Linked DNA regions of Saccharomyces cerevisiae S288C. The protein of the gene in region 4 interacts with the protein of the main gene of each other region in a biochemical or structural test. Each region holds a gene or a part of one and is shown on either strand. Other genes may lie near its edges.

Region 1 (3,961 bases), on a different chromosome or scaffold from region 4:
GAGAACCTTGAGATCTATATGTCACCATTGCTAAAGAGGAAGTTTTTTCGCGAGTTCGCGCGCTGAAAACTTTTCTCCCATTTCCTTTTTTTTTTATTTTTTTGGCGTTTAGATATAAAAGCTTTAGCAGGATTGCTCTTCCTTTTCACCACACATATAGTGATATAAAATTTATTTATAAACTAACACAAGTAAATATACAACACCCAGTATTTTTGGCTGCCCGTGTCTTTCTCTACCACGGGTAGTCTCTCTAAGCTGGCAGATAGATGTTTATTGAACCGCTTAAGTTCCGTTGTGAAGTTTTCGTCTTTCAGGCTGTATTTCATAACACTACTGTAGTTCACACATACACATGCGTAATGCCCCAATCTTGATAAACAGCACATACAAGTAACAGCAAGTCTGCTTAGCAGCCAGATAGAGCTCTTATAGATGCCACCAGAACCAGCGCCGGGTAAATTGTAAATACTAGAAGGGGCCGCAACTTATAAGAAAGAAGAAATGACTAATTTGCATGATTAGATATTTTAAAGATACTCTACCTAGACCAGTAGTACACTTCACGGATCTGCACTGAAAATGACTAAACAAGCTGAGGAGACCCAAAAGCCAATCATATTTGCTCCTGAGACGTATCAATATGATAAATTTACTTTGAATGAAAAACAACTTACTGACGACCCAATCGATCTTTTCACCAAATGGTTCAACGAAGCCAAGGAAGACCCAAGGGAAACGTTGCCAGAAGCAATTACTTTTTCATCCGCGGAACTACCTAGTGGGAGGGTGTCGTCCAGGATTCTTCTTTTTAAGGAGCTCGACCATAGAGGTTTTACTATTTATTCTAACTGGGGAACCTCTAGAAAGGCTCATGATATTGCTACCAACCCGAATGCGGCAATCGTATTCTTTTGGAAGGATCTGCAAAGGCAGGTGAGAGTTGAAGGTATCACAGAGCATGTTAACAGAGAAACTTCTGAAAGATACTTTAAGACGAGACCTCGTGGATCCAAGATCGGTGCATGGGCTTCCCGCCAATCGGATGTTATCAAGAACAGAGAAGAACTAGACGAGTTGACCCAAAAAAACACCGAACGTTTCAAGGATGCTGAAGACATCCCATGTCCAGATTATTGGGGTGGCTTGAGAATCGTTCCACTGGAAATTGAGTTCTGGCAAGGTAGACCCTCGAGATTGCATGATAGATTCGTTTACAGAAGAAAAACAGAAAACGATCCATGGAAAGTCGTTAGACTAGCCCCATGAGGGACTGTTAATGAAAAATTCAATGTAGGATCTATTTAACACCATATAATTCTCTCATTTTCTATTTTATACTGTATAATGAATCTTTTTATACCGCCTATAGGGTAATATGTCAGAATATACCGAGATGAAAAAAAAGAAAAAGGAATTCCGAAATTTGGAAATGGCGGGAAAATTTTTTCACAAAGGGAAATTATATGTTATAAAAATAGTTGAAGAGATGAGCTGCCTACTGCTCACCTTGCCGTTTCCAAAAAAGAGTTAGAACCGACAAATTCATCCAAAGAAAATAATGAGCAAGACAGCCGTGAAAGATTCTGCTACAGAAAAAACCAAGCTAAGTGAAAGCGAACAGCACTACTTCAATTCGTACGATCACTATGGTATTCACGAAGAGATGCTTCAAGATACTGTTCGTACCTTATCTTACAGAAACGCAATTATCCAAAATAAGGATCTTTTTAAGGACAAGATTGTTTTAGACGTCGGTTGCGGTACCGGTATTTTATCCATGTTTGCCGCTAAACACGGTGCGAAGCATGTTATCGGTGTTGATATGTCAAGCATTATTGAGATGGCGAAGGAATTGGTAGAGTTGAACGGATTCAGCGACAAGATCACCTTGCTAAGAGGCAAGTTGGAGGACGTTCATTTACCCTTTCCTAAAGTTGACATCATAATTTCTGAATGGATGGGTTACTTTCTACTATACGAGTCCATGATGGACACCGTTCTTTACGCTAGAGACCACTATTTGGTAGAAGGCGGTCTGATCTTTCCCGACAAGTGCTCCATTCATTTGGCCGGTTTGGAAGACTCTCAGTATAAAGACGAGAAGTTGAACTACTGGCAAGACGTTTACGGGTTTGATTATTCGCCATTTGTTCCGTTGGTCTTACACGAGCCCATCGTCGACACCGTGGAAAGAAACAATGTCAACACCACCTCAGACAAATTGATCGAATTTGATTTAAATACAGTAAAAATATCAGATCTAGCGTTTAAGAGTAACTTTAAATTGACGGCCAAGAGACAAGATATGATTAATGGTATAGTCACCTGGTTCGACATTGTTTTCCCTGCACCAAAGGGTAAGAGACCTGTTGAGTTCTCCACTGGTCCTCATGCTCCATACACTCACTGGAAGCAAACAATATTTTATTTCCCTGATGATCTAGATGCTGAAACTGGTGACACCATTGAAGGTGAATTGGTTTGCTCTCCAAACGAGAAGAATAACAGAGATCTAAATATCAAAATTTCTTACAAGTTCGAATCGAATGGCATCGACGGTAATTCAAGAAGCAGAAAAAACGAAGGTTCTTATTTAATGCATTAAGACTTTTGTTTGCTGGAGAAAGAAAAAAATTTGAAAAGCAAATAAACAAACTTGTTCATATTATTGACGCGAATATGTGTACTTTGTTACCCTTTTTTGTTGGTCGTGTACCAAAATTAGTTTAGATATATGACTTTGCATGTCCTTGTACTATAGTTTTTAAAAGAAAAAATCTACTTATCTATCCTTCATTAGGATGCTATTTTTCACCTTGTTATCATGAATATTAGTTAAAGAAGCAACAGCAACAACCCAATTCTGAATCATCCATCAATTTCCAACCTATGTCGGCAAACTTTTTCAATATCTTTTTGTTTTCTTCCTCCGATGGCGCAACGTTTGAGGCGTTACTAGCTGCACATTTTCCGGAATACATGCTCTTCATTACCGATTCGTAGCATCCGGTACTACTTGTAGCACTTACATAGTAACGCTTAGCACGGTCATGTGCATTCTTCCTAAAAGGTTCTAGGGTATTAAATAGTGCGGTTATTTGCACCAATTCGTTCAGCGCAGTTGACAACGTCATAATTCTGTCATTTATTCCCTTGGCCATATTTCCATTACGGATGTATAAACTTATTAATGTGGTAGGTATGGGTCCTATCAAACTAATGATATTATAGCATTCTTCCACCATTGGCAGCATGAAAATAGAAACAGTTCCCATCAAGTCTTTGGTTGTGCAACGTGTATTTTCTTCACTGGCAAGATTTGACGTAATACTTTGTGTTGGCGACATTAATTCTTCTTCACTGTCCTGAGCAAAATAGGCGTTCGGAAGGGGCTTTGAATCCAAATCAACAGAGTTTTCTGCGTTCATATTAGTAATTGAATCTAATATGCCTGATACCAGAGTGATCATTGAGCAGACTAGCTCTCCGATATTTTTCATTTCAGCATCCGAATTGCAGCAATTTTCTAGAATATGGTCATTTTTCTGTTCAATATTTAGTAATTTTCTGATTAAAATTTCCTTTTTCTTCAAAAGGGTCTCAAATTTGCCAGCTATATTATCATGTTCCCCTTTTTCAACAGCGAACTCTCCGTAATCCGTTTGATTTGTGAACAGCAAGTGGTGAGGTACATTTACTTGCAATGATTTTCTGTTAAGGACAAAATATGTTATAAATTCACCAAGTTTAAGGTTTCGTAGAATGTTATCCAAAGCTACGGGAGCTTTTTCGACGACTTGGTTATGACCTGTTTTATCGCTAAAATATGTTTCAATGGCGCTACCAAAATTTAGATTAATTAATTTTGGTTGACCTAGCCGAAAGCTTTGTAGCGTATCCAGAATGTTTAAAAGGATGTACAACCTTTTGAACAACACAGCATAATCCAGTATCTCGT
Region 2 (4,058 bases), on a different chromosome or scaffold from region 4:
CTAACTGTATGCCAGATTTTTCCAATTCCAATTTAAATTCCTTCATAGCGTGTCTCAGATCTCTGTCCATTAAGATCTTAATCATTTGCCATGGTTTCATCGTATTTTCTTCATTGGCAGAAGTCCCATCTAGATTAACCAATTTTTTTTCGATCATGATATTGCTAACCTTTTCTAACTTTTCCAGAACATTAGGCCTCGAATTTATTTGATCCATGAGTTTCTGCACCTTTATGTGTGCATCTATTTTGTCATTAGGCTGTCTGTCGTCCCAAGATTGAGCGTAAAATCTTCTCGGAGAAATCCAGGAAAGCCTCCTTAAACTCCTGGTGTGATTAGTGGTAGAAATGTTCGATAGTTCTATCGAACGAGTGACTCTGGAACTATGCTTCCATATAACTCTTAGCATTATGTGTGGCTGTAGTATCTACTTTCTGCTTCTTGTGTTTATTCTAACTTTTTATTCGTCGGTTTTGTTACATCTTAAATTGTATTTCTTTAGTTCTGACCGAGCCATATTTAATGCATAGAAGATTAATAAAGAAAACATGAAAATCATAAATAATTAAAAGTAACTGGACGAACAAAAGATTTTACGTGAGACAGACAAAAAAAATTAACACCAGCAGTATATGTATATATGTACATCGTATATGAATATGCCATTTCAACAAATTGGATATGGTTGTATGTTTGGCTTTTTCTTTTCCTGGATTCCGGCTGTCAAATACTACTACGAATAGAGTCAGAACAGGCTTTTCTGTCCCTTCCTCCTATTGTTTCCTTTGCTCTGTCCGTGGCTACTCTCATCTTTTTCTATTCTAAGAGAATTTCCATCTGTTACCACATGCTTCACATGTACAGAAAGTGGTCAATGGTTCATCCGCAGATCTTGTTTGCAATTGATAGTAAGATACCTTCTTCTCTTTACATTTACCACATGTAAATCTATCGGTGACTGACCTTTCTATGGTGGCACCCTGTGCGTTGTATAAGTTTTGCTTGGCAATTTCTTCTATCTTTTGCTTTAAGGGCGCTGGTGCCAGATCCTTGGCATCGCATGTAGCTAAGAATTCAGGTGTTATATCACCGTTGGCAATTTTATGTTTGAGATCTGGGTTATTCTTTGATATGACGTTTGAATAAATTATACGATACCTGGCTTTGTAAGCGGCTTCGTTGGTGTCACAGTTGTTAACTTTATTCATTTCACTTTCTATGGCCTTTGCAGTATGCAAAATAGATTGAGGTGGATGCTCACTTTCCTTGGCCAAAACGTCGTAGAGTGCTTTTAGTACCTGATCACGTAATTTGTGGTGGTATATAGCTGTATCCACACCATCGTTCTTACTATTTCTTGGTTTAGTGCTGACGTACTTGTCTTGTTTCATGGCATCTGACTGGGAGGAGGCCGGCTGTTGAACACCATTCACGGACTCACCTACAGTTGTCTTGTCCTCTGCATTGCCTGGCGCATGATCTTGATGATGCTGCTGTGCTTGCCTGGAACGCTTATTTTTATTAATTGCGTCTTTCCAAGAGCTAATCATTTTCTTCACGAGTTTGCTGATCTCTACATTAGTGGATTTTTTAAACTTGTTGACTTCCACACCAACTTTTGTTTCTCTCAGTAACTTTTCAGTGGGGACGAATTCTTTATCCAAGACATGTAAGATTTCTAGAACTGCAGCATCATTACTTTTGTTCTTTTCTAGATTCTTAACATGTACCAGTACTTCCTTACTATCCATGATGAATGCTCTTATGCGGACTGACTACACTGTGAATGTTCTGCTGCTTGAGTAATTTTTCATTCAATATTTTTCAATACGTAGTCCCATCATCGAGTGATCACTTGGTCATATCAGCACAGTGGGGCGGGTAAGAGTTGAAAATTTCCCTATAATGAAATTGGATATTATATATCAAAAAGGCGTTGTCATTCGAAGCATCGTTTCAAAAGAAGGTCCGTAAAGTTAAGGTGGGCTAGTGAAGTATCTCATAATTGTTACAATCACCATAAGAGAAATCTTGCGTTTAGAATTTCCTAAGAGAACCGAGTCACTTCTAGCACTTGCTTTAAACAGAAACACTTGTAATAATTGTTAGAGGGATATACAAGAAAGGCTATATACCAATAGCATCACATAGACACGTTAATTATCAATACATTGAAAGAAAAGACGAAAACGATAAAATGAATAGGCAGAGCGGTGTGAATGCGGGGGTACAGAACAACCCACCATCCCGAGTGGTGTATCTGGGTTCTATACCATACGATCAAACAGAGGAGCAGATACTTGATTTATGTAGTAATGTTGGGCCCGTGATCAATTTGAAAATGATGTTCGACCCCCAAACTGGTAGGTCGAAAGGGTACGCGTTTATTGAATTTAGAGATTTAGAGTCCAGTGCCAGCGCAGTACGTAATTTGAATGGATACCAATTAGGCTCTAGGTTTTTGAAATGCGGTTACTCCAGCAATAGTGATATATCGGGAGTTTCACAACAGCAACAACAACAGTACAACAACATTAATGGGAACAATAACAACAATGGAAATAATAATAATAATAGTAATGGGCCGGACTTTCAAAACAGCGGAAATGCCAATTTTCTAAGTCAAAAGTTTCCAGAATTGCCCTCTGGTATCGACGTTAACATAAACATGACCACCCCTGCTATGATGATATCGAGCGAACTAGCTAAAAAACCGAAAGAGGTGCAGTTGAAATTTTTACAAAAATTCCAAGAATGGACAAGAGCGCATCCTGAAGATGCTGTTTCGCTATTAGAGCTGTGTCCACAGTTGAGTTTTGTTACGGCTGAATTATTGCTAACGAATGGGATATGTAAAGTGGATGATTTGATCCCGTTAGCTTCCAGGCCGCAAGAAGAGGCATCGGCTACGAATAACAATAGCGTGAACGAGGTGGTGGATCCAGCTGTGCTTAACAAACAGAAAGAACTACTGAAACAGGTGTTACAACTGAATGACAGTCAAATTTCTATCTTGCCCGATGATGAAAGGATGGCTATTTGGGACTTAAAACAAAAAGCATTAAGGGGAGAATTTGGTGCATTTTGAAACTAGGGAGGCAAAAATACAAAAAAAAAATGCGGTTCCGCAATGATGAGGCAACAATCTATCATATTTTCCACGTGAGGGAGCTCAAAGTTCGGTATATAGCTTACATCTCAATATCACAATCACTTTTTTTTTTGACGTCTTTATAAATATAGAATAACGTTTACGTTACTGCTATTTTTTCGTTTCTTATCTCAGTTTGCCTGAGGACGGCTATAGTTTTAATCATTAAACGTATATTAAGTACACATGAACATATATAAATCTCAGGTTTGTGCATGCTTCGATTTTTTTTTTCTATGTTAATGTCATGGATCATTACGTGGCTGGGATAGTGGAAATATGCAAACATGATTAAGGCGCCTAGTTCCAACACGGCGCAAGCTGCGAGTATATGACTTGTTACCTGCACTTTTTAATAGTCATCACAAGGGGGAGGATCGCTTTCTAACTGTTGTAGTCTTTTTTGTTCAAGTTCTTGTTTGTCTTCCGACGGTACACTGACTTTATCATTTGGCGAATACTTTGGAACTGGAACATCGTCACTATCATATGCATTTAATGGGGCCAACCAATCTCTTAAATTCGATGGAGAATTTTGAGGAGCCGTGATTGAGGATTGGGATGGGATGCTTGCATCAGATTGCTGCTGTTCGGATCTCGTCGTTCCTATGACGGTTTCTATGGACATACCAGTTACATTCCTCAGTCTCTTTAGCTTTTCCACATTTACCATATCTTTGAAAAATATACTGGATTCATAACCCTCAGAATCGTTCTCCAACGTTTCTGGATTGACCATACGTAGCATTTTCCTTTGGATACGGTTGATATTATTCTCTACGCCCAAGCCATTTTGTTCTCCAATAGGAGTTCCTATTATTCTATTAGATTCTGTGTAAACCACGTTTTTTTTTGATAAGTTAACCATAACCTCGATATAGTATTGGAAGGAGAAAAATTTTCCCAC
Region 3 (6,090 bases), on a different chromosome or scaffold from region 4:
GTGATAAAAGTGTCACAGCGAATTTCCTCACATGTAGGGACCGAATTGTTTACAAGTTCTCTGTACCACCATGGAGACATCAAAAATTGAAAATCTATGGAAAGATATGGACGGTAGCAACAAGAATATAGCACGAGCCGCGGAGTTCATTTCGTTACTTTTGATATCACTCACAACTATTGCGAAGCGCTTCAGTGAAAAAATCATAAGGAAAAGTTGTAAATATTATTGGTAGTATTCGTTTGGTAAAGTAGAGGGGGTAATTTTTCCCCTTTATTTTGTTCATACATTCTTAAATTGCTTTGCCTCTCCTTTTGGAAAGCTATACTTCGGAGCACTGTTGAGCGAAGGCTCATTAGATATATTTTCTGTCATTTTCCTTAACCCAAAAATAAGGGAAAGGGTCCAAAAAGCGCTCGGACAACTGTTGACCGTGATCCGAAGGACTGGCTATACAGTGTTCACAAAATAGCCAAGCTGAAAATAATGTGTAGCTATGTTCAGTTAGTTTGGCTAGCAAAGATATAAAAGCAGGTCGGAAATATTTATGGGCATTATTATGCAGAGCATCAACATGATAAAAAAAAACAGTTGAATATTCCCTCAAAAATGACTGCTGAAGAATTTGATTTTTCTAGCCATTCCCATAGACGTTACAATCCACTAACCGATTCATGGATCTTAGTTTCTCCACACAGAGCTAAAAGACCTTGGTTAGGTCAACAGGAGGCTGCTTACAAGCCCACAGCTCCATTGTATGATCCAAAATGCTATCTATGTCCTGGTAACAAAAGAGCTACTGGTAACCTAAACCCAAGATATGAATCAACGTATATTTTCCCCAATGATTATGCTGCCGTTAGGCTCGATCAACCTATTTTACCACAGAATGATTCCAATGAGGATAATCTTAAAAATAGGCTGCTTAAAGTGCAATCTGTGAGAGGCAATTGTTTCGTCATATGTTTTAGCCCCAATCATAATCTAACCATTCCACAAATGAAACAATCAGATCTGGTTCATATTGTTAATTCTTGGCAAGCATTGACTGACGATCTCTCCAGAGAAGCAAGAGAAAATCATAAGCCTTTCAAATATGTCCAAATATTTGAAAACAAAGGTACAGCCATGGGTTGTTCCAACTTACATCCACATGGCCAAGCTTGGTGCTTAGAATCCATCCCTAGTGAAGTTTCGCAAGAATTGAAATCTTTTGATAAATATAAACGTGAACACAATACTGATTTGTTTGCCGATTACGTCAAATTAGAATCAAGAGAGAAGTCAAGAGTCGTAGTGGAGAATGAATCCTTTATTGTTGTTGTTCCATACTGGGCCATCTGGCCATTTGAGACCTTGGTCATTTCAAAGAAGAAGCTTGCCTCAATTAGCCAATTTAACCAAATGGTGAAGGAGGACCTCGCCTCGATTTTAAAGCAACTAACTATTAAGTATGATAATTTATTTGAAACGAGTTTCCCATACTCAATGGGTATCCATCAGGCTCCTTTGAATGCGACTGGTGATGAATTGAGTAATAGTTGGTTTCACATGCATTTCTACCCACCTTTACTGAGATCAGCTACTGTTCGGAAATTCTTGGTTGGTTTTGAATTGTTAGGTGAGCCTCAAAGAGATTTAACTTCGGAACAAGCTGCTGAAAAACTAAGAAATTTAGATGGTCAGATTCATTATCTACAAAGACTGTAAAAAGAAAGTGGAATATTCATTCATATCATATTTTTTCTATTAACTGCCTGGTTTCTTTTAAATTTTTTATTGGTTGTCGACTTGAACGGAGTGACAATATATATATATATATATTTAATAATGACATCATTATCTGTAAATCTGATTCTTAATGCTATTCTAGTTATGTAAGAGTGGTCCTTTCCATAAAAAAAAAAAAAAAGAAAAAAGAATTTTAGGAATACAATGCAGCTTGTAAGTAAAATCTGGAATATTCATATCGCCACAACTTCTTATGCTTATAAAAGCACTAATGCCTGAATTTATGTTGAAAATATGTGTCACAAATAAAGAAACTGTGACATCTGACACATTTCCACTTTATTGACAAGAATAGAATTTCTTTAAGTTTCCCCTCTAGATTATTTATTTTCAAATTTTAGGCTCTGTTGAAGTTTATTACGTAGAAATTCCTACGATAGTTATTAGTCCTAATTGGATGTTGCAGCAAGGCTCATTGTCGGTGTCGTTATCGATGGAAATCCTGCACCTATGTTATTACCCTCTTTTCGTAGTTTTCTGATCCGGGTTATAGAGTTTTGCTTAAAAAAAGGTTATGTTTAAAAGTATGAAAAACTTTTCAGTATTAATTATGCAGAAGAGCAGTGAATAGTAATAATACATATCAGAATATTCCGCAGTCTTTGGTTTTCAGAATTGTTAGCAGTAGTTAAGTGAATAAAGATGGCATCGACATGGAAGCCCGCCGAAGACTATGTGTTGCAACTAGCAACTCTTTTACAGAACTGTATGTCACCAAATCCAGAGATTCGTAATAACGCAATGGAAGCTATGGAGAACTTCCAGCTGCAACCTGAATTTCTCAATTATTTGTGTTATATTTTAATTGAAGGCGAATCTGATGATGTATTGAAGCAACACTACTCCCTACAGGATCTTCAGAACAATAGAGCTACCGCCGGTATGCTGTTGAAAAATTCAATGCTAGGGGGAAACAATTTAATTAAGAGCAATAGCCACGACTTAGGATACGTCAAATCAAACATTATACATGGCCTTTATAATTCGAACAATAATCTCGTTTCGAACGTGACAGGTATCGTTATTACTACTTTATTTTCCACTTACTATAGGCAGCATAGAGATGATCCAACTGGTCTTCAAATGCTTTACCAGTTGCTAGAGCTAACCTCAAATGGAAATGAGCCAAGTATTAAGGCTTTATCTAAGATCATGGAAGACAGCGCTCAATTTTTCCAATTGGAATGGTCGGGAAATACGAAGCCTATGGAAGCCTTATTGGATAGTTTTTTTAGGTTTATTTCGAATCCAAATTTCTCACCTGTGATTCGCTCAGAATCGGTGAAATGTATAAATACAGTGATCCCGCTACAAACACAAAGTTTTATTGTGAGATTAGATAAATTCTTAGAAATTATTTTTCAGTTGGCACAAAACGACGAAAACGACCTAGTTAGGGCACAGATTTGCATTAGTTTTAGTTTCTTATTGGAATTCAGACCAGATAAGCTGGTTTCCCATTTAGATGGTATTGTACAATTCATGTTGCATTTGATCACCACTGTAAATGAGGAAAAAGTGGCTATTGAAGCCTGCGAGTTTTTGCACGCCTTTGCAACGAGCCCAAATATTCCTGAACATATCTTACAACCATATGTTAAGGATATCGTGCCAATATTATTATCGAAAATGGTCTATAACGAAGAATCCATCGTTCTCCTGGAAGCTTCTAATGATGATGATGCATTCTTGGAGGATAAAGATGAGGACATCAAGCCCATTGCACCCCGTATTGTGAAAAAGAAAGAGGCAGGAAATGGAGAGGATGCAGATGACAACGAAGATGATGATGATGATGATGATGATGAAGATGGCGATGTTGATACGCAATGGAATTTGAGAAAATGTTCCGCGGCAACGCTAGATGTAATGACGAATATTTTACCTCATCAAGTGATGGATATAGCGTTCCCATTTTTAAGAGAACATTTGGGTTCTGATAGGTGGTTTATTAGAGAAGCTACTATATTAGCACTGGGGGCCATGGCAGAAGGTGGAATGAAGTATTTTAATGATGGCTTACCAGCACTAATACCATTTTTAGTGGAACAATTGAACGATAAGTGGGCACCAGTGAGGAAAATGACATGTTGGACATTAAGTAGGTTTTCACCATGGATATTACAAGACCATACTGAGTTTTTAATTCCAGTCTTAGAACCTATAATAAACACATTAATGGACAAGAAAAAGGATGTTCAAGAGGCGGCTATTAGTAGTGTAGCAGTATTTATTGAAAACGCCGACTCCGAATTGGTTGAAACTTTATTTTATAGTCAATTATTGACGAGTTTTGATAAATGTTTGAAATATTACAAGAAAAAGAATTTAATTATATTATATGATGCCATCGGCAGGTTTGCTGAAAAATGTGCATTAGACGAGACAGCGATGCAAATAATTTTGCCGCCCTTAATTGAAAAATGGGCTTTGCTGTCAGACAGTGACAAGGAGCTGTGGCCACTTTTAGAATGTCTTTCCTGCGTGGCATCATCACTGGGGGAAAGATTCATGCCTATGGCACCAGAAGTGTACAACAGAGCCTTTAGAATTCTATGTCATTGTGTCGAATTGGAAGCCAAATCACATCAAGACCCGACAATAGTAGTGCCTGAGAAGGACTTCATCATCACCTCATTAGATTTGATTGATGGATTGGTACAAGGTCTTGGCGCTCACTCGCAGGATCTATTGTTCCCTCAAGGGACGAAGGATTTAACGATATTGAAAATCATGCTAGAATGTTTGCAGGACCCTGTCCATGAAGTAAGACAAAGCTGCTTTGCCCTGTTGGGAGATATTGTATATTTTTTCAATTCGGAACTGGTAATTGGTAATTTGGAGGATTTCTTGAAGTTGATTGGTACGGAAATAATGCATAACGACGATAGTGATGGTACTCCTGCTGTGATAAATGCGATATGGGCGCTTGGTTTGATAAGCGAACGTATCGATTTGAATACTTATATCATTGATATGTCTAGAATCATTCTAGATTTATTTACCACCAACACACAAATCGTAGACAGCTCTGTGATGGAGAACTTGTCTGTGACCATCGGAAAAATGGGGCTAACACACCCTGAAGTTTTCAGTTCTGGCGCATTTGCCAATGATTCCAACTGGAATAAATGGTGTTTGTCCGTTAACGCATTGGACGATGTAGAGGAAAAGAGTAGCGCGTACATGGGTTTCCTGAAAATTATCAATTTGACCAGCACGGAGGTCACAATGAGTAATGATACCATTCATAAAATTGTTACGGGCCTTTCAAGCAATGTAGAGGCGAATGTTTTTGCGCAAGAGATCTACACCTTTTTGATGAACCATTCTGCCCAAATTTCTGCAATAAATTTCACGCCCGATGAAATCTCCTTCTTACAACAGTTCACCAGCTAAAATTTTTTTTACTGTATCCTACGTGTTTGTATAGTTTGGTACATTATTACTAGTGATATATACATAGCACAATTCGGAAAAAAAAAAAAGGTGCATAACTGCAAATGGATCACATAGAAATGAAAATAGTTATAAAAGTTACATATAATTAATAGACGTATTACATACATGCTTAAAGTGACATGTTAAAGTTTTTTTTTTTATCTCCTTGTGAAAAAAAATAACACTGAGGGGAAGAAAGGCAACTGCAAAGAACAGAAGGGGAGATTATTCTTTTTTTTTTTTTCATTCTTGAATACTTTTGCGGGTTCTCTTAGAATAGCATATCCATGGTGCAGCATATACATAATGCAGCCAGACATGCAGCCAGACAACCTTCGTTACCCCTCTGGGGTGGTTGTTGTTGGACGTAGACTGGTTGTTGATGGCCTTGTTGGTTATATCCCTGCTGGTTATATCCCTGCTGATTGTAGCCCTGCTGATTGTACCCTTGCTGATTGTACCCTTGCTGATTGTATCCTTGTTGGTTATAGTATCCGGGATGCTGCTGCTGCTGCTGGTAGTACTGCTGCTGTTGTTGGGGTGGGTATCCACGCTCCTGAGTTTTGTTCTGATGAGCGGATGAAGGTGGCGGGTTGGAGGGACGGGAATATTGGCTCTTCTCGCCGGCGGTTCCGCCGTAGTAATCGTTAGCAGACATGGTGGTTGTGTGTAGGACTATCTTAAGCTTACTAGTGAGTCTCTTCAATGCTTGTCTTGAGAAGAGAAAGAGCCAGAGGGGGATTTTGGAAAAAGCCAAATTGACATACTTTTATAGCTTCGGCCGCAGCAGAATGGCTGAAGAGTAAGAGGGCGCAGAGCGGCTGAGCGAACCCGTCGGGCGCGACCAGCCGATAGTAG
Region 4 (4,866 bases):
GGGCTATTAATTTTAAATGAAACTTTTCTACATGATGGAACATAAACATAAATATAGGTATAGATAAATTGTTCTTCTTTTTTTTTTTTTTTCTTTAAGAGAAAGAGTAAGTAAATATATCTTAAAATTACAAAGGGCTTATGCATCATTTCAGTTAAAATTATTGAAGTACCGCTCCCTGAAATTATCTTTTGAACGTTTTATGCCATGATTACTTGATCCATTGAAAGTGCTACCCCTATTAATATAAACCAGTAGTCTCCTTGACCATTTATTGAATTCTTGAACGCAGTTGTATTTTAGCTCTAGATTTTCGTGCATTGGGACAATAGTTTCAATATTGGCGTCGTTTGCAGTGGGCATCCAGAAGGCTAATCTTCCGCCAATCGGTAATCTTTCGGAAGAGTATTGTAAAAGATCATCCAGTAATGAATCTAGAGCATACGGTTTTTTGGTTGGAATATAATCGCGACGCAAATATGCCTTTTCACCGTCAATTTCCATATCTTCCTTGCCTAGAAATCTTTCTGGATCCTTAGCACCTAGGACTTTTATGCTTTCTCTGATACCATATGGAGGATCACACAAAATAGTATCAATGACAAGATTGTTTCTTAATGCGTTATTTGTAAAGTCCATGGTCAACACGTCGAGGAATTGAGAACTCTCGCCATATTTTTTGAAGTTGGCCGAAATGTTCACTTGAGCACCCTTACCACGAATCATTCTGCCATCTATATCCGAACCAATCACTAAAGAACCAAAATGCCCACCAGCTACCAAAAAGGATCCTGTACCTGCAAACGGGTCGTACATTATAGTTCCCGGTTTCACTTGAGCTATATTGGCGCTGACCAACGATAATTCTGCTTCGAAGCTAGTTGTACCTTTATAAGGTCTTTTCTTCAAATCATATTTCTCCATGGCACTCCTATTGCTCATCTGAACCTGCCTACCAAAATAAATCCTGGTGGGGGTCTTACCACCAACGTTTTCCGATATTGGTGTGTACTCTTCTATAACAGTGAAAACCTCTTGAGGATGTTTCATATCAATCTTTCCTTCAAAGCCAAGGTAACGGAAAGTTTCAATCTGCTCTACCCTCTTAGCTTTACTGTTGCCTTTATAGCATTCGAATTCGAACTTAAAAGTGGAATGTTTGAATTTCAATTGCAGATCCTGTTCAAAGTTAGACTGACGCTGAATATCTTTATGCAGCTCATCGAGCGTTGTACCCTGCCCCCAATACTCATAAATACCTCTGGTTAAAATAGACCTCTTAATCCAATCCTTTGCTTGCTGATCATTTTCCAGCTCTACAATAAAGAAAGGGCTATTGGCATCGTACTGCGAAAAGTCTATGGAAAGATTATATAGGTCTGCTAACGATTCCAGTTCTGCTCTTCTAAAGTTCAAATGAACTTGTACCATATACAGCAGATATTTCTTCATGCTGCCGTTTTTACCTTATATACAATGTGTTTAGTTATGCTATTTCATCTCCATATTACGGGTATTAAGACCTCGATGCCCATAATCATCGATTTTTTTCACTTTTCCCACAACGTAAACATTTCTTTTTTCTTCGGAAAAGAATCCAAAATACGGGTAATAAAAGTCTCTTAAAGTACTAATAGCTATAGATAACATTATGGAGGCTATTGATATACAAAATACTAAGAAATATAGGTTGCTGCAAGGAAGAAGATCAAAAACCCTCTAAATTTCGCTTTATCTATCCATCAAAAGTCCGGAGGGTCATGCTATCGAAAACCTATTGACTATAAATATCAATTTTTTTATCTCTTCGATTTGTTCTTGAAGATCTTGCGCAGAAGTTGAAAAACAAAGAGTAAATCCTAATGTAGATGCGTGGAAAAAGAAACATGCTCTTAAGGATCCCAACTTCTTTCTCTTCTAAACATCTATAACCTTGGAAGATCTTGCGAAATACTGGGCGGCTAAATCGAATGCATTTTTAATCTTACCCGGAAATACTTTCTTTTTTTTATTTATTTTTTTTCTTGCAGCCCCTCCCTACGAGCAGCGCCGAGATTTCTTGTTGGACAAAGCAAAAAAAGTATAAAAGGCGCATGCTTTCCACACGCCCAGGCGCTCTTAAATTTTCTTCCGCTCTCTCCTTTCCGCCACTGTAATTAAAAACAAAGGATTGAACAGTTTCGACTAGTTATTTAATTTTGCAGATAGTCAAGTATTAGTACAATATACTGTTATAAATTTTTTACGTGTATCTTTTACTTTTTAGTGTTTAATAACTAAAATCTCATACCTTACTAGATTTCTTTCTAACCTTTTTTGCGAAAGAAACAAAAAGAAAAAATACGGACAGAAAAGGTATACTCAATAAACAAGAAATTGAAAAAGCGTGCATAATACAAACAATTGGCCCTTTTTTATTCTGTATTAATATTACTGTTTATATTACAATCTTTTCATAAAAGACGCAAATATTTTATTTATAAAGAACTTTAGCAGTATACACAAGTCTGAGAAAATAGAGAATAAGTTAAATAAGCAATGAGCTCTGACGAAGAAGATTTCAACGACATCTACGGCGATGATAAGCCTACCACTACTGAAGAAGTCAAAAAAGAAGAAGAACAAAATAAGGCTGGCAGTGGTACCTCGCAATTAGATCAACTAGCCGCACTACAAGCATTATCTTCTAGCTTGAACAAACTAAATAATCCAAATAGTAACAACAGTAGTAGTAATAATAGTAACCAAGACACATCTTCTAGTAAGCAAGATGGCACTGCGAATGACAAGGAAGGTTCCAATGAAGACACTAAGAATGAAAAAAAACAAGAAAGCGCTACATCAGCAAATGCCAATGCCAACGCTAGTTCTGCAGGACCTTCTGGCTTACCTTGGGAACAACTTCAACAAACCATGTCACAATTCCAGCAACCATCTTCTCAATCACCACCTCAACAGCAAGTAACTCAAACCAAAGAGGAACGTTCGAAAGCGGATTTGTCTAAAGAAAGTTGCAAGATGTTCATTGGTGGTCTGAATTGGGACACTACGGAAGATAATCTTCGCGAATATTTTGGTAAGTATGGTACCGTCACTGATTTGAAAATCATGAAAGACCCTGCAACAGGTAGATCTAGAGGGTTCGGTTTCTTATCTTTTGAAAAACCTTCTAGTGTTGATGAAGTGGTAAAGACACAACATATCCTCGATGGTAAAGTTATCGACCCAAAAAGAGCTATCCCAAGAGACGAGCAAGATAAAACCGGTAAAATCTTTGTTGGTGGTATTGGTCCTGATGTGAGACCAAAGGAATTTGAAGAATTTTTTTCTCAGTGGGGTACGATTATCGATGCGCAACTGATGTTAGATAAGGATACCGGTCAATCAAGAGGTTTTGGTTTTGTGACGTATGACTCCGCTGACGCCGTTGACAGAGTTTGTCAGAATAAATTCATCGATTTCAAAGATCGCAAGATCGAAATCAAGAGAGCTGAGCCAAGACATATGCAACAAAAATCATCAAACAATGGTGGTAACAATGGTGGAAACAACATGAATCGTCGTGGCGGTAACTTCGGTAACCAAGGCGATTTCAACCAAATGTATCAAAACCCTATGATGGGCGGTTACAACCCAATGATGAATCCGCAAGCAATGACAGATTACTATCAAAAGATGCAAGAATATTACCAACAAATGCAAAAGCAAACTGGTATGGATTATACTCAAATGTACCAACAACAAATGCAGCAAATGGCAATGATGATGCCAGGGTTTGCCATGCCACCTAATGCAATGACTTTAAACCAACCACAGCAAGATTCAAATGCCACTCAAGGTTCCCCAGCACCTTCTGATTCCGATAATAATAAATCCAATGACGTCCAAACTATTGGTAATACATCAAACACTGACTCTGGTTCACCGCCATTGAATTTACCTAATGGTCCAAAGGGCCCATCACAATACAATGATGACCACAATAGCGGTTATGGCTACAACCGTGATCGCGGTGATCGTGATCGTAACGATCGTGACCGCGATTACAATCACCGTAGTGGTGGAAACCATAGAAGAAACGGCCGTGGTGGTCGCGGTGGATACAATAGACGTAATAATGGCTACCATCCATATAATAGGTAAAAAAAAAGAAAAGTGTAGAAAACTAGAGAAAAGTTTTCTTGTATAATTCAACAACCCTTCTATTAAATAAGCATAAGCAATTTATAATATATATATACATGTACGTGTATTAGTTTCGAATAGTTATTATTTTTTTTTCACTATGCTAGAATGTATAATCACAAGCTCTACTTGAAGTACAGCTGTCATAAAGCTTACAAATAATCTTAATGTTATTGTGCGCAAGAATGTAAGAGGCAGACATTAACTGATATCACCATGAGACATGCCTAATTGAACAATGGCATAAACGTTCAGTAAAGATAAGAAAAGCCACACAATTATAGCAATAACAGTGATAATCCAATTGTTTGCCATATAAACGATTTTGACATCTTTTCCATTTTCTATCTCCATGCCACTAGAACCATCTTGCTCGATTACGCTACCTGCAGATCTATCGTTGTTATTTTGATGGTTATGGCTATCTTCTTCAGTATGGTCGACGGTAATTTCGGTTTTCATGATTGATTTTTTACATGTGAAGAAAATTAAAGGTGCTACCAAAAATGGCAGAACTATGGATAAAACAACTTGGGAAGCATTTAAGGCCTTTGATAAAGCTTCTCTACCGATACAGATAGAGATGACCAAACAAGGGATTATCGAAATACATCTAGTGGCCAATCTTCTTTGCCATGGCTGCAACTTCCAATTAATATGACCCTCACTTACAATTTGACC

What was found.
Region 1: of the proteins of HRP1 (region 4) and HMT1, one has a biochemical effect on the other in vitro, tested with the Saccharomyces cerevisiae proteins (4 studies listed by BioGRID).
Region 2: the proteins of HRP1 (region 4) and RNA15 form a complex in vitro, tested with the Saccharomyces cerevisiae proteins (one study listed by BioGRID).
Region 3: the proteins of HRP1 (region 4) and KAP104 form a complex in vitro, tested with the Saccharomyces cerevisiae proteins (2 studies listed by BioGRID).

The regions. Positions count from the first base shown.
Region 1 is NC_001134.8:303,577-307,537, reverse strand, and holds HMT1 (protein-arginine omega-N methyltransferase HMT1), read left to right. Parts: upstream 1-1,561; coding exon 1,562-2,608; downstream 2,609-3,961. Other genes in the region: pyridoxamine-phosphate oxidase PDX3, read left to right, coding at 583-1,269; EDS1 (Eds1p), read right to left, coding at 2,835-3,961. UniProt on the Saccharomyces cerevisiae protein: S-adenosyl-L-methionine-dependent protein-arginine N-methyltransferase that catalyzes both the mono- and asymmetric (type I) dimethylation of the guanidino nitrogens of arginine residues in a variety of RNA-binding proteins such as heterogeneous nuclear ribonucleoproteins (hnRNPs) and small nuclear ribonucleoproteins (snRNPs).
Region 2 is NC_001139.9:415,176-419,233, reverse strand, and holds RNA15 (Rna15p), read left to right. Parts: upstream 1-2,197; coding exon 2,198-3,088; downstream 3,089-4,058. Other genes in the region: DPC13 (Dpc13p), read right to left, coding at 1-409; YGL041C-B (uncharacterized protein), read left to right, coding at 348-530; transcription elongation factor DST1, read right to left, coding at 822-1,751; RIM8 (Rim8p), read right to left, coding at 3,504-4,058. UniProt on the Saccharomyces cerevisiae protein: RNA-binding component of the cleavage factor IA (CFIA) complex, which is involved in the endonucleolytic cleavage during polyadenylation-dependent pre-mRNA 3'-end formation and cooperates with the cleavage factor NAB4/CFIB and the cleavage and polyadenylation factor (CPF) complex.
Region 3 is NC_001134.8:270,047-276,136, reverse strand, and holds KAP104 (Kap104p), read left to right. Parts: upstream 1-2,433; coding exon 2,434-5,190; downstream 5,191-6,090. Other genes in the region: GAL7 (UDP-glucose:hexose-1-phosphate uridylyltransferase), read left to right, coding at 610-1,710; cysteine-rich palmitoylated domain-containing protein CPP1, read right to left, coding at 5,504-5,890. UniProt on the Saccharomyces cerevisiae protein: Functions in nuclear protein import as nuclear transport receptor. Serves as receptor for arginine/glycine-rich nuclear localization signals (rg-NLS) and PY-NLS in cargo substrates. Its predominant cargo substrate seems to be mRNA-binding proteins.
Region 4 is NC_001147.6:85,306-90,171, forward strand, and holds HRP1 (Hrp1p), read left to right. Parts: upstream 1-2,538; coding exon 2,539-4,143; downstream 4,144-4,866. Other genes in the region: TRM11 (tRNA (guanine-N2-)-methyltransferase), read right to left, coding at 151-1,452; divalent metal ion transporter SMF1, read right to left, coding at 4,387-4,866. UniProt on the Saccharomyces cerevisiae protein: RNA-binding protein, which is involved in the polyadenylation-dependent pre-mRNA 3'-end formation and cooperates with the cleavage factor CFIA complex and the cleavage and polyadenylation factor (CPF) complex.